Bombyx mori: one gene and its partner. The protein of the gene in region 2 purifies or fractionates together with the protein of the main gene of each other region. This does not show direct contact. Links are inferred from orthologs where the notes say so. Each region holds a gene or a part of one and is shown on either strand. Other genes may lie near its edges. The genes, in order: LIM domain-containing protein jub and serine/threonine-protein kinase Warts.

Region 1 (7,756 bases), on a different chromosome or scaffold from region 2:
TGGTGCGCAATACCCACCGCCTGTTTACGAAAACGTAGATTATTACGGTGAACAGCGTTCACCACAACCACCATATTATCACCAGCTCTACCAACAGGGTATACCACCTCCTGTGTCTGACGGATACTACGACACTCGGTACAGCAAAGCTCAACCGCAGGTGCCTGTTAACACGAAGTCTAAGGCTATTCCGGCACTATATGAAAATATGCTTAGCGCAGACAGTGATAAGAAAGGTGAATATAAAATACAACAAAATAATGACAGATTCATACAACAGGGTTCAGTACCCGGTCCACAAGTCCCTAACACTGGACTTAGCAGGAGCAATGTTAATTTAATAGGAGAGAGGGGTAAAGTAGACAAGCACCCTGCCTTGGCCTACAGTAAACACCAAGAAAATATTAGTGGTGATTATACAATCATGAGATCAGCTCCACCTAAATATACTGATGTTAGTGCTTTATTGAAAAGTGAAAACACAGTTAGTTTTGATGACAAAGTAGTGACAATTCCATCTACAGCGATTTATGCTTCAATAGCACCAAGTGCACAGAGACCTAAGGCCAATATAGCTACAGAAGTACAGACATGTGTGTCTAGTCCCAAATTTTTTCACCCCAAGCCTGTTACTGTAAATAATATGCCGAAAGACAAACCTTTGGTGACAAATGGAGCGTATAATTCCAAACCACTTGTAAACAGAATGCAAATAGTGGAAGATAATAATGGGTCTGATTATGTGTGTATGACAGGAGGACCTTCTGCCACACCCATACCTATATCCAATAAAGATAATACATCTCTAACTGCTGAATCTATTGGTTCTAGAACCTCTGAATCTGCTAGTTCTAGACACTCTGAATCTATCACTTCTCGAAATTTGGTTTCCGGTTTAACTTCTTTATGTTCACCCTCACAATCTCCTGCACCAAGTCCTACACCAAGCTCAGTTTCTCAAGTATCTGGAGGTTCCCGAGGATCTGGTGGTAGAGGCAAGAGTTTACTGCCATATAGTATAACCCCGCCCAGACCTACAGGTCCAACTGAGGCCCAGAGAAAAATAGAAGAGTTAACTAGGCAACTCGAAGAAGAAATGGAGAAACAGGATGAGGAGGGAGAGTACTTTGGTATGTATACTGTAGAATACTGCACACTTAATGGTGGAACTACCATCCAATCAATCTCTGCTGCATTTGAATACTGGGACAGCTGCTATACTATACTATTGAGACTTGGACCTCGTATTTCTAGGTGGTCATTGGCAGCAAGAGAAATCACATTGTGATGACTATTGGCTCTAGTAACCATTTAACCCAGGTGAGAGGTGCAGGTGCAACCTATGCAGTAAACAATAAAGAAATATGAACATTGCTCAACTTAAATTGGCATTTGATAAATGAGAGTGAGAGCAACATGTTACATAATTACTATTGTAATAAACCAAATGTACTCGTTTAAACACCACTTACTTTTAACTTCCACAGGTATATGCCACACATGCGGGGCTGGTGTAACTGGTGCTGGGCAAGCTTGTCAAGCTATGGGCAATCTGTACCACACTAATTGTTTTATCTGCTGTTCATGTGGTAGAGCACTTAGAGGGAAAGCTTTTTATAATGTACATGGCAAAGTGTACTGTGAAGAGGATTATTTGGTAAAAAAAGATTATCAACCCATATCAATCTTCATAAACCTAAACATCAATACTTTTTAAATACGAATTTGTATTCTTGTATTTCAGTATTCTGGATTCCAGCAAACAGCTGAAAAGTGTGCTATATGTGGTCATTTAATTATGGAAATGGTGAGTTTTTTAAAAATGTCGTCTTTTATTTAAATTAATTAATTTGTAATTTGAATTTGATTTTGAATGTTTTAGTTTCTTGCTTAGGCAATGCCCAATATCTTGAAATAAAAAAAGTCTAAAATTAATAAAATATATTTTTTGTTTATCTATACTGATATTATAAAGAGGAAAGATTTGTTTGTTTGTTTGTATTGAATAGGCTCTGAAACTACTGAACAGATTTGAAAAATTCTTTCACTGTTTGGAAGCTAAACTATTCCCGAGTGACAGAGGCTATAATATTTCTTGAAAAAATTTAGGTATCCTTACTAAAACTCCAATAATATAACGCAAGGTGTAAAAAAATTACCTAAAATATTCTTTTCAACGCGTGCCCTGCGAAAACTATTGATGATAGAATAAAATAATGCACTACGACTTTGTAGAACACATTATTATTTACAAAAAGTGTCCCGACAGCGTATGTTTAACTATTATAGTTATGACTCAATAAGAGTTCTTTTATTTAAAAAAAAAAAACTACTTCAAATATCTTTGAATTTTATGTTAAAGACCCGAGCGGAGCCGGAGCGGGTCGCTAGTACTTTATAAACATTTAAATTATGAACATATTGGTAGGCAGTATAAATAATGATTTAAGTACAATACTATTCTCACTTTGATGTCATCGGCTGGTGGTGGCATGGTCATCCAAGTACTTATTAATGTTAAATGCTAATCATTTTATACTGAATATTTTCTCCATGCTAGGATTTTCTTATGGGTACAAGATATCAATATGAGACCAAAACTGGGCAAAAGGTATGATTATGGTAAGGCATACTTTAAGACTTAGCAGTAGCTAAGTGTGTAGTCTTAATGTGATGGTAGTAATCATCCTAGCTAATTCTGCCATGAAGCAATCATGCGTTCAGGTTTGAGAGGTGCAACAGCCATTATAAAAACATTTGAGGTTTAGACATCATGTCTCAAGGAGGGTGGGGTGGCATTCAAGTTGTGATGTCTGTGGGTTCTGGTAATCACCAATCACAACAATCATCTGGTAAATATCGGTGAGCCGAGATGTCTAATTTTCTTTTAGGATACGCAAATTACGATCATTCATTTAATTATGTAATGAATAATATCTAATAACAATATTATATCAAAAAATGTTAGTTAAAATGGTTATCGCCGCACCAAGCCAAGTGGTGGGTGACCCTGACTTGACCTGATCCACATTTCATTCCTTGTAAATCTGACAATCAGTATGAAATGAAAATAGTTTTTTTTTTAATGAAGTAATGTTATATGAAAATTTATACTTACGTTTTTTTTTTTCTCTTTTTTATTGCTTTAAATTGTCAACAAAAAATAAAAAAGATTCTATTCGAAATGGCCACTTCTGGCTTTTATACAGGCCTTTAATCTGCTTGACCACGAATCTATGTAATTACACACTGTTTCCAAAGGAAATTTTGCCACTGCTTGCTCCAAAGATTTTTTAAGATACTCATGTCGCCGTGTCGATTAGAGCAGGCCATTGCCTCTAAAACTGACCATAATTTGAAGTTTAAAAGGTTGAGGTCTAGGCTGGATGAGGGCCAGTCTTCAGTTCTTATAAAGTCCGGAACGTTGGTTTCAAGCCAGGCTTGGGTAGTTCCTGCCCTGTGACCAGGTGCAGAGTCCTGCTGGAAAGTCCATGAGATATTTTTAAAAAGTGTATTGCTGAGAGGTTTAATAACATGATCCAAGACTGTATCTTGATACACGTTCACTCCTTTTTTACAAAAAATGTAGTTTTGTGACTCCTTGATAAGACACGCCCCACCAAACCATCACTGACGCAGGATGATGACCTCGTTGTACCTTTCCGACCACTTGAGCAGCTTCTTTAGAACTGTGAGCGTACACATTATCATTTTGCTTATTGTAGTGTTCTTCAATCCTTAAAATTTTTTCATCGGTAAAGAGGATATTTCTGTGCCTTTCACCTGCGTATTGCGACAGAAGGCGTTTTGATCGATCCACTTTCTTTAATTGTAAATATTGATTTAGGGCATGTCCTATATATCGACGATAAGCACCGAACTTCTGGTCTTGTTTTATAATACGCGACAGAGTCCTAGCGGGATTCTTAATTTCTCGCGATAAGATTTTTTGCTTCCTAATGAGGTTTCGACGAATTGTGGCTTTCACAGCATTAACAGCTTTTGTAGTTCTAACAGCACGCGGCCGCCCCAATCTTTTCTGGTCTTCGACAGACGAAGCTTTGTTGTATCTGTTGATAGTACGATATACGAACATAGGACTGATAGCAAGCTTTCGAAGTGTCTGGAATATGACTGACGCCTCCATACCCACTTTGTCAATCACTGCAATCTTTTCTTTAACACCCCACTCCATATTGTAATTTGATAATGAACACGAAAAAATATGTGAAATGCCGCAAAATCTTAAAAAGTTTTTAAAATAATATAATGTGTTCCAATTTCAAAATAATTAAAAAGTTGAAAAAAATGAAAGTTTTAATGTGTTTATGGCCAGTCTAGTTACATGTTCTTGTTTGTTTGAGTTTCCTAGCCCACTGAGTTTCTCGCCAGATCTCAGTAGGTCGCGGCTCTGATCCGGTGGTAGATTCTGCGAAGCACTGCTCTTGCTAAGGCTAGTGTTAGCAAATTCTCTCAGGTTGAGCCCGTGAGCTCACCTACCCGTTCGGGCGTAACTGGAATAGCCCCTTAGGCTACCAGCTAATAGGTAGGCACAAAAAAAAAACATTAAAGTACTTACCTAGCATTATTAACTCAATTTCGACTCGAGTTTTTAATAGAACTAAGGAAATAGCGGGTTTCCGATCAGGTTTATATGCCAGTTATTTCCGTATGCATACCAAAACACTAGCTACTTTTACTAGCTAATTCCATATGTGGAACACTATTTTTTTAAATCGTTTGACAACATTGCACCTTTCAATAACTTTTTTCTAAGTGCAATTAAGTAATATGAATATCGTAAATAGATTCGTATACGAGGAAATGTGGACCTTGTTCAGGTTCTTAACAAGAATTTATTTTTATTGCACGTGGAAATAACTGAAAAGTATTTTGATCCAGGTTTTTAAAGAGGAGATACTAGAAACTTAAGGTTACGTAACTTTATTTGACTAAAACTCTAAAAGCCATATTACGTCATGAATAAGTATTTTAATTCCTAATAAGTACAGGCGTGAGCGATTACACACTGGAGACAGCTGGTGGATTAGGTTCTCTGGAAATTATTAAGACTTCGTCGTATTTTTTTCGCCCTGAATGATTGTTAGAGTCCTGGAAACTGCCTTTTTCAGTATTTAGCTTTATACTTACCTAATAATTATTCGTTTTTAAAGTCAATCATCCTACAAAGCATACGGGGTATAACCGGTTTTTTAATTTTAATTCCGCTAATGTGCTCAACATGTTGTACTTTTGTTATTATTATTATTATAGAAGATAATAATTCCAGATACTCCAAGCTATGGGTAAATCATACCATCCCGGCTGCTTCCGCTGCTGCATATGCAATGAGTGCCTGGATGGTGTTCCATTTACTGTGGATGTAGACAATAAGATCTATTGCGTCAATGACTACCATCGGATGTTTGCCCCAAAATGTGCAAGTTGCGGAAAAGGTAAATTTACCTTTTCAGTAATATAGTTACCATTAAGTAATAATATTGTTTTCCATTAAATATTTAATTTAAACAGTTTTGAAAGACGAATAAACAAATGCCGGTATATTCGAATATTCCTGAATGTTCTATAAAGTCTTCGCATTATTGTCAGAGATAATTTACTAACAATATTGTTGAATAATAATTTATGAAAGAGTATAAATTCTTATCATTTCTTTATCGAATATACTTTGTCCATATTACACATGAGTACATGACTTGATGGAATTTAGTTTAGGAAAAGTCAATATTTCCGATAAGAACTGATAAAATAGCTGTGAATGCAACAAAATTAGAAATGCGAATGTTAAATACGTCGTCGTGAATACATAATACATATTAATTTGAAGTAATGAAGTATGTAATGTTTAATCCCAGCGATGTTTTGATTGTGACTATCACGAAATATTATAATAATATAATTTTTTTTATTGCTTTAGTAAGCGGATCAACTTAGGGCCTATCCTACCTATTTTTATAAAGAAAATGTATACGTCTTACTGGTTTACAAAAATCTTTTATTTATTTATTGCCTAGATGGGCGAAGAAGCTCACTGGTTACCGAAGTTCATAGATATCAAATCTTGAATAACGACACCCAGCTTTAGACATGAAGTCGAAGTGTCTATTGTATACAGGTTGTCCCACGCTTCAAATCGTGAGGTATAAAATAGCGGCGGAAATGGCACTATCCCATTGAATCCTGAATGCTTACAGTTTATATTAATTTACAGGCATAACACCAGTTGAAGGTACAGACGAGACAGTAAGAGTTGTCTCTATGGATAGAGATTTCCACGTTGATTGCTATATGTGTTGTGTATGCGGCATGCAACTCACCGATGAACCCGACAAACGCTGCTATCCTCTAGCAGGTGTGTAAAAATAAATTAACGTTCTTAGTTTACTTAGGGTCGATTCGACCAAACAAGAGTAAATCTTATTCTTAGAATAACTCGTCAGTTAATCGAGAGTAAATCAATTTTACGTTTTACCAACTACAATTCTAAGAATAGTGGGCCTATTCGGGAATTGTTACTATACCGCCGTTTCGCACGGAATAACGGAGCTATTCCTAGAATAAAGTAATGGCGTCTGTCAGTCCAACATCTGATTTCTGTCATTTCATAAATATTTATTCTGTTTTAATTTCAAGTCAACGCAATGCACTAAATTATTATTAATAGTCTGGCATTGTATAATGCAACGTTTAAACGAAAAAAGATAAAACCACACGACAAAACTTGACAATTCCCTCAAACAAACAAGAAATAAAAATAATACGTTTGACAGCTGGATATCTTACACAACAGCTACTTTTTCACACTAAAATACGGCAAAATCGAGTTGACGATTTGTATGCTCTTACACTATGCCGTTGAACAACAACATTTATTTGCCGGATTTTATTTTTGTTCACCATTCACTCTGCTATTCGCGTATTGTTATTCCTAGCGCAAGTATACGTGGAAAAACGACTATGAATTTACTCGAGATTAAAATCATGGAATAGGTTATTCCTCGTATAGTTACTCGAGTTTAAATTTAAGTTTGGTCGAATCCGCCCTTAGAATCAGTAGATATGGTGAAATGAAGTTGTGGCCCATCTAAATAATCATCATCTTGGTTACCAGAGAACCCAGATATCATAGCCGTCGCTGTCTACTTTCAGATATTAAAGCAAAGTTTCTATTGCATTTAAAAATAAGCTAACTCGACATTCCACTGCCATAAATACTGAAAGAAATAGGCTGGATGGTTGTATCGATCCGAGTTGGCGCACATCACGGCCATGTATTAAAAAATCTTGATACTTTTTGATAATAAATATCGAAAAAGAGACAGGTGCAGTGTCACAAAAACCTAGAGCAGTTGATGGTGGACAGGCCGGGAAATCACCACATTACAGTTGTTATAAATTACCTATTTGGTCATAAAAAATAATAATACATAATATTAAATCTGCATTTGTTAAAAACATACAATAATGTACCATCATTATTATACATAGTTACAAAATGGACTTTTCAACTGTTGTAAAATCAATGAATTGTTGTAAAATGTTGTAAAATTGCAGGTAAATTAATGTGTCGTGCGTGTCACCTCGCCACAATCGGAGCAGCCACTGGACCGGGCCTTCCTCCCGCGCCTCATCTATCACCAGCCTCATACCAATACATGGGTTAAATGATCTTATAATTTGTGAAACTAAGTTAACTTAACGAAACATAGTTTCAGTAGATGTGAATGGAGTTATA
Region 2 (8,261 bases):
TGTCCATCTTGGCCCTTTTCAATCGAATATAATTGGATTCCTTCTGGGACAGCATCTTTCTCATCTGACACTGAGCTTCTGCACTTAGACCTATTTTACTCATCTCCTTTTCGAGTTGCATCCTTCTGAACAGTCTCTGTTTATAAGATTTCAAAACGTTTTCCACATGCTGTTCCATAAAAAATTTGAAAGCTTGCGGTGAATAATTTCGGACTTTACAATCTCTTCTCTCGTCTTCTTTTTCTTTACTGTAATTTCTGCGTTCCGGTATTGGCGATTGATGCCTTATCTTATCTAACATTTTTGGTCGTCTGTCCGATGATCCGTTAGAGCCTTTGTCGGAGCCGGAGGCCGTGACGTTGTCTTTTAAGAGATTATTCGTACAGTTCTGGTTGGGACACTTAATTTCGTGCGGCCCTTGTGACGATTCAGGTTTACCGTCACAGTTATTCGAAATTTTCTTATGTAAAGGAGAATGGTGGGAATTAACAGTAGTCGTGTTGTCGGCTTGGTTACCGTACGGAGGCGGCGGGACGGGGTGCATGCCGCGTTGAACGGCGAGCACTTGCATCGTGATCGCATAACTTGGTGGCTCCGTGGTCGGGACGGCGGGAGGAATCGCAGTAGGTGTGGAGCCAGGAGACGACGGCTTCGGTGCCGACGGGTAGCTGGGCGGAGTCTGTGCCTGCTTCTGTTGGATGGAGCTCGCGTACGAAGGAGGGGGTGGGGGTGCTCCGGCACTGGTGGCTGGCGGTGGGGCAACCGGTGCTATCGCCGTTTGTAGTACCGGTTTCTGAACTTGTGTGCTTTTCACAGACTGCATGATGATAGGAGGCTGCACCGCTTGTCTCGCGGTCCACGCCTGGAGCGGCGTGGGGCGAGTCATTCCCGCGGCTGAACCAGTCGATTGCGTTACCGTAATTGGACTCGGCGAGCCGGCGGAGGTGCCTCCTGAATAGATCCCCGAAGATGGACTCTTCCTGTAATCCTGCGACTGGGTTGGGCTTTGACGATTTTGGATAGAGACCGAGTAGGGAGGAGGTGGCGGCGCACCCGACATCGGATACGGCGGTGGAAGTTCGCCGCCGCCACCCGTTTGATAGATACTGAGAGCTTGTATCTGCTGCGTAAGCTGCTGTTGCACTTGAGGTCCATTTTGTACAATCATGGGTTGTCTGGCAGGCGGCGTGGGTGCCGCGGCCGCCACGGGACTGGTGCCCCGCGCCGGTGGTAGAGGTGGCGCCGGCGACATGCGCTTGAGCAGTTGCTGCACGGAAGGCAGCACCGGCGGCGTGGACGGACATCGCGGCGGCGGAGGTGGCGGTGGTTCTGAGAAACCTGAAGGCGAATACTGTCGCGATAGCTTCTCGTGTGGTAGCGGCGGTGGCTCCGATTGACGCGGACTATCAGACCGGGAGCTACCAGCACCTGAATCAAGTGCAGGACTACCACGATGTAGATTTATCTCTCTCTCTAGACTAGGTTTCCGGATAAGTTTGGTGCCAAGAGCACTCAAGTTACTGCTTTTGAGGACGCCGTTGAGAGGTTCTTGCTGTTTCGACAAATAATCGAGAGCTGCATCAAAACGCCCTCCTGCATATTTGAGTGCCCTCACAGCTGGGTCCTGAAATGATTTTTTCTAAATAATATACTCATTATTCAAAAACAGAAGCAAAACAAGATAATGAAATTTTACCAAATTGATTATAATCTAAGTACACCGTGAATATCTCTTCTGACGGTGAGTGGTTACTAGAGCCAATAGACATCACAGCGTATATGCGCCGTCATCCATCTCGAGACAAGAGGTCTAATTTTTCAATTGTATAGTATATTAACTGTCCTGCCCTTCTAATTAGAGCATATTACTGCTTGACAGTAAAATTCGGTAGGGTGGTGTGCCCCACCCTGCAGCGGCAGGTACAAACCATCCATCTAATAATAAAAAATTCGGGCAGGGGGCTTAGGGGGCGCGTAGAGTATGTGGGTGTTGATGGTCCGTAGACATTGGGAGAGAACCGCAGGTCCAAGAACGTTTAGGGCCCTACCTACCAAAAGACTCTCCTTGCACTCTCTCCCCCAACGCCCGATCTTCGTCTGGGTCCAGTGCCCGAGCAGAGTAAGGGCAGAGTAACATTATAAATTAACAACCAACATTCGATCAATGGATAGTTGACGACCAACAAACCTAGTCTCTGTGTGGTAATATAATAATAATGGCATGGCAAAACTAGTATACCGAACTTCTTATGTAGATCTTGCTTGGAGTTTTTATTGTAATTTTGTTGTAGATTGTAATATAATTATTATCTTGCTGACTTATAAACTTTACATAGACAAACTATGTGAATATAATTCCTATTTTACCTCATTCTAATACTATTATATATGTTGAAAAAAGGATTTATTTGAGTACACAGTAATGTAATTTTTCGCCTGGGAAATTTATGAGAACAATTGTGAAAACTAAAAATTAAATTGATATTGGAGATCTTGAAAACTTCCTGCTATCAGTCACCGATGATACTAATAGCTAGAAGATACATATAATCCAAGACGGTAGAAAAAAAAGCATGTGTAGAATAATTTTAAAAAAATCTTTTTTTATCATTAATATTAGATTTTATTATTTTAGGCTTTATAACTAAGCCTATAGATCACAATAGGGGTTTTAAAAAATCTGAACACGAAGCTGAATTCAAAAATGCATTAAAATATTTGACAGCCTGCCCTTTAAACCAGAATACATGGTTAAAGTGTTAGGTATAGACAGAATATTGGTATATGACCATATTTATTCTCAAGACAATATGCATTTACAACATGCACAATACAATAATGAAAATAAAAATTAAAATCTTGTGTTTTTGTATTGTGAATAAATTACTTCTCAATTTAATTCTGGTCAACATTATATCCAAGAACACAACCTTAAGCATTCATTTTATAACTGTTATGACTATAAATTTGATTCAATTTAAATTATGTTTAACATGATTGTTGAAAATGAAAACAAACTACCACTGGTTTCATGATTGCCTATTCCTCATTCCACTGCAACCAGGCAATATGCAAGTAATTAGCTTGTACTTATAGTGTTTATGTTTAATTAAAATTTCTCAGTTATTGCAAATAACAATAACTTAAGTTTTACTCAAACCTGGTTAAAGATTGTCCTTAGCCTTGGTATTAATGAAAATGGACATTAATCACCAATAAATACTGATAATATCGGCCATACACTGCCTTCTACATTAAAAGTTGATAGTCTTTCTTATTATATTTTAATTGTATTATAAATTCCATGTATTTTTATATGTATATTTCTTCTGTGCGTGTGTTTGTCACTGAACTCCTCCTAAACGGCTGGACCGATATTAATGAAATTTTCTGTGTATCTTCAGGTGGATTTGAGAATGGTTTAGATTTATAAAGCAACCCGGCACTGCAGTCGGTATCTTTCCTAGAAATATTTTTATGGCAAAACAATGCCAGCCAGTTTTTTTATAAAAATTAAAGATAATGGAATAATGACACTAAAAAAACACTAATCATATCTGTTATTTAGAAACACTTTTAGCAATTCATTATAACTAAACTCACCTCATCATAACCCAAGGCAATAAGTTGGTTCAAGGATTGAGGTAGCACATTCAAGTCTTTATCGAGTCCATTTCCCGAAGAAGAACTAAACCCCGAACTCACTCCTGAACTAACTGTGCTAGCAGCTGATGAACCTGGCGGTTCAGAGTTTCCAATGTTCGCAAAGGGAAGCAATGAGTTTCTGATTTCGGCAAGCGCCTTCTGGTGGTATCCGGAGCGCGTAGCCGTTTTGCCGGGCGCCGGCGGGTTCATGGCGCCCGCGCCCGCGCCCGTGCGCCTCACCTCTCACCCCACGCCTCCCATCACATGAGCACACCCCACACCCTGTACATATCCTTGTTTATTATCCTCCGCACCATTTATTCAACACTCTAATTAAGACTCGCAGCACTGTCACTGTCTTTATTATCGAATTTATTTCGTTTATATATCGATTTCCTCACTAGTCAGTCTGTATCAACATTGCTTTTTGTGTAGCAGCGTGAAAGGTACTTTCTTTTAACTGAAAAATATTTTTAAATATTAGTACCTAATCAATTGAGAATTCCTCTTGCTTTAGATCCCTTAAATTTTATGTGATAATAAAATAATGAGTTAAATAAGTTAGATGAGAAAAGTTTGACATCTTGGCAACAGGATAGGGATATGATTTGTCGACTTTATACAGAACCTGTTTACAGTATCAGACAATTCGAGTACACAATTTTTAACAGTATCGCATTCTATCCAAGAGTACGAGGATGTAAGGAATGTCTAATGCGAATCAATCATGACATAGACTTGTGGAATTCCAAAATTAGAGGGAGCTCGGAAAGCAATGTTTCGTTCATTCAAGGCACTAAGAAGAATAATTAATTACTGTAATTCATTACCAGGCACTTTTTCACTTTCTGTAAATCCGTATTATATGCACAAATGTCATAATCCCATAAAATGAAATTCAGTTCGATCGACAGCTCTCACATTGCCGATGACATCTTTCTTGCACACTTAGTTTTGATTAGTCGCATTAATTTTTATACGGAAGAGGCAATCTGGAGTCGATAGAGTTGTGCTTTAAAGCGAGAGTTTCTAAGGAAATATGAAAACAAAGGACTCTAAAACACAGACATGCAAGTTGGCAAACCATACAAAGCGACCATTTTGAAGAATTACCACATTCTTTAGTGTGTTCGGATACACAGAAGATTAAATTCCATTTTGTTTGACGACTCTTTTTCGTAAAAAAGAACCCAGCTAAAGCACTCATCTGCTTACTAATGTAGGAATTTCTCTATTAAAAGTAATAATCAGACCTTTAAAAAAACACTTCTACAGAATTGTCGAAATGAAACTGTATCCGAATAATAAGAAAGTCACAGGCATGGAGTAAGTACCTAGTCACAGGACTCACAGCAAAAATCCTAACTGCAAAAATTCTAAAGAAAAAAAAAAGAGTATAACGGTCTAATTCTAAGACTGTTAAATTAAGAAATTTCTATCTGCTATTGCCTAATTCATTTTCTTCATAACAAGGTGACACTCTACAAAACATGCATACGTTCCATTGTGAAATAGGCTTGGAGTTAATAAGGAAATAGGTAAGTGTAGTGTTCGCTCACGCGTCCCGTTCACACATGAACTCTCTCCAGGTTATCCAATCCCATTTCTGCAAAATAGCCTTCGGAGCACCGTGGTACGTAAGAACTAATTAGTTTCTATCAGTAAAAACCTTATGGAAGCGTCGGAACGCTATTTTGATAAAGCGGCGTGCCATTACCTTTCCGCTTCTCATTACATATCCGACCCAGGCAACAGGGCAACCTAAAGCCGCCGTAGCCATTAACATATTCTTTCCGATCTTTCAGGTCCACTTTCAAAGATTCTTCTGTCGTTCGCTGTGCACGTTACTCTCTGCTGTGCTCGACGTATGAAATAGCTCATAGACACCACCCACTGAGATCTCGCCGGATCTTCACGGAGGGCTGTGATTCCGATCCTGTGTTAAATTCAACCAAGTACATCTCTACCTGAGGCCAGTGCTAGGAATTTTTTTAGGTTGTTGCTGTTGTCAAGTTGTGACTTTTTTATTTTTTTATTTACTGTTTCATCAGGTTTAGTATGTTATGACGGTGGTTTATTAACATTTTAGTATCTCTGAAAGTACACAAGGGTGGTTAAACGAAACAAAATAGTTGGATATTGCTTTTTGAATTCTTCCAAAGTCCATTGATCTTATCTTGTCATCCTTAACCTCCGAACTACCTATTATAATAGGCGGCGTGCGGCAAAATACAAACACCACAAAGCAACCAACGGTGGTATCCTTGGCGTCGTATCTCGCGAAAGTGTTGCAGGTCCCCGGTTAGGTGGTGAACAAATATGGCCAACGGTTCGCCCTTATTGGTGTTTGACGGCGATATATGCCGCGGCTTTCTTGTTGCGGTTCAAAGTCAACAGTTCAAAGAAGATCGTCGCAAATATTAACTCGTGCAGCGAGCATGAGAGGAAAGTATAAATAATACACATAATATCAGGAGAGCACAGATGAATATATTAGTTGGAGGAGAGTACAAAAGTTATGTGTATTATCTATGAGTACAACATTAAACGGACAATAAGTACGGCCTGTGTTCCAGCTGCGCCAGAACAATCCCGCACCGTGCCGGCTCCCTTAAGATTTTGTTTAATTCCAACCATTTTACTAATTATTTCATTGGTATGGTATTGTTTTATCTCAGTTCAGTTAATCCACATATCCTTCTTCAAACGAGGCTTGTGCAGAGTACTTAACGGCGAGAATACTTAACGGTAGGCAGCAGCTTGGCTCTGCCCCTGGCATTGCTGAAGTCCATGGGCGACGGTAATCACTCACTATCAGGTAGACCGTATGCTCGTCTGCCTATAAGGACAATAAAAAAGATATCTAATTTAATTTTTGATTCAATTTTTTATCAATCTATATCAGTTGACTTTCCACACAACAGACATAGATTCACCTTTGTTATAGAATATTACTGTGTATGTTATATGTGCTACGTTCCCTGTGCTGCCAATAGACAAACCAAACGAAAAAGTTTGAAGTGCTGTGCAGCAAAGCAAAATTTATCCAACAAATACGAAATTATTTGTTGTTTTAGATTTAACCTATTAGCTACTTAACTAATGAGAAGGAGAAAAGATATAAATGAAAACAACCTAAAAAAGTTACCTCAATTCACAGAGGCATTGTTTAGAAATATATTCCTTCACCACAATGAAGATATTACCATATCTATTTGTATTTCCGTATCTTGTAGCTCCTGAACAGAGTTCTGTTTACGAATACAATCCCAGTAATTTCAAATTCCAGATCGAAGAAATGGATGGAAACTTTATTATGTTTTACGCGCCATGGTGAGAACAATAATTGAATTTACATTATTCCTTTCAGTGATTAAATTCAAAACAATCTACATATTCATTTATTTATGATAAAAATTATACTAAATATTGAATCGAAACGATTTTATAAATAAACTTAATCTAATTTTCTTTAGTTGACCGAAATGTAAATGGTATACCGTAGTGACATCGATGAGGCCTATTGTGTGTGAACCTCTAATAGAAATTGAAAATACGAAGATCACAGCCAAGCTTCCGTTCAAAACAAAAGATTTGAATGCCCTCAATAAAAACGAACTGATGTGGGTAGTGGTGAAAAAGATCCTTCATACTTATTGACTAAACTACAAAGTTAGATGAGCATTTTTACAAAAAGGCTGACGACTGATTCAATGAGGGTAATTCACGATATAAAATTAAAAAAGTTGTTAACCATCCACAACTAAAGATGTGTTCCAAGAGAGTTTCAATAAAATACTGTTTGAAATTACCATAATATCTATATTTTTTACCATTACGGTACTATACCATTTACAGAAATTATATGTTTTAAGGTGTAGACATTGCACAGAATTTTATCCGATATGGTCAGAATTGGCAGAGCTGGTTAATACCAAGGACTCCAAATTTGCCATTGCCCAAGTTGACTGCACAGTGCATGCTAAGCTTTGTCATGAAAATGAAATAACAGGTACTTAAGTAAGCATACACATAATTTCCTTGTTTTTAAGTATGTACATAATAGAATTTTTTTTTAAAATAGGTACACTAGTTGATGGTGTAAATAAATTTGAAAAAAATTACAGGTTATCCAACATTATTTTATTTCCACAAAAATACATTTACACCAGTTGAATACAAAGGAACAAGGGACTTACCATCATTGACATTGTTTCTGAGCGAAGCCTTCTCTGTCAAAACAGAGGTGAGTAGTAGAACCATTTTGTCACTGTTGCTCAGAATTAAAAAAAATCATTCTTCATAATTCATTGCAAAAGTAGGTCAATGGGATTAAATTCTAGCCTACAAACATCACAAGATTAATGCCATTAGCCATAATCAGATATGAGGTTAAATACCAATGAGATTTATACTTAATTTAGACCATTTTGATGAATGGATATAAATGGAAGTTCTGTGTCAAAATTTATTAATAATATCACTTTATTATAATTTTTTCTGACTGACCTATCTTCATAGACTACAACATAAGAATGTGACTGAATATAAAATATAATATATATAAACCTGTATCCAATTTATTATTTCAGGGCAAACAATCAAAACAACCAAAT

Evidence for each region.
Region 1: the proteins of serine/threonine-protein kinase Warts (region 2) and LIM domain-containing protein jub purify together in Drosophila melanogaster (affinity purification with western blotting; 4 studies listed by BioGRID). This does not show direct contact. The link is inferred for Bombyx mori from reciprocal best matches to the Drosophila melanogaster genes wts and jub.

What each region holds. Positions count from the first base shown.
Region 1 is NC_085110.1:13,215,080-13,222,835, reverse strand, and holds part of LIM domain-containing protein jub, read left to right. Parts: coding exon 1-1,130; intron 1,131-1,487; coding exon 1,488-1,657; intron 1,658-1,744; coding exon 1,745-1,807; intron 1,808-5,290; coding exon 5,291-5,456; intron 5,457-6,232; coding exon 6,233-6,373; intron 6,374-7,575; coding exon 7,576-7,685; 3' UTR 7,686-7,756. UniProt on the Drosophila melanogaster protein: Regulates organ size by inhibiting apoptosis and promoting cell proliferation by influencing the expression of G1/S-specific cyclin-E (CycE) and apoptosis 1 inhibitor (th). Negatively regulates the Hippo signaling pathway.
Region 2 is NC_085112.1:13,709,046-13,717,306, reverse strand, and holds the start of serine/threonine-protein kinase Warts, read right to left. Parts: upstream 4,767-8,261; 5' UTR 4,476-4,766; exon of another isoform or gene 4,443-4,475; intron 4,133-4,442; exon of another isoform or gene 4,106-4,132; 5' UTR 3,856-4,105; coding exon 3,604-3,855; intron 1,625-3,603; coding exon 1-1,624. Other genes in the region: thioredoxin domain-containing protein 5 homolog, read left to right, coding at 6,839-6,978, 7,521-7,657, 7,773-7,891, 8,238-8,261. UniProt on the Drosophila melanogaster protein: Negative regulator of Yorkie (Yki) in the Hippo/SWH (Sav/Wts/Hpo) signaling pathway that plays a pivotal role in organ size control and tumor suppression by restricting proliferation and promoting apoptosis.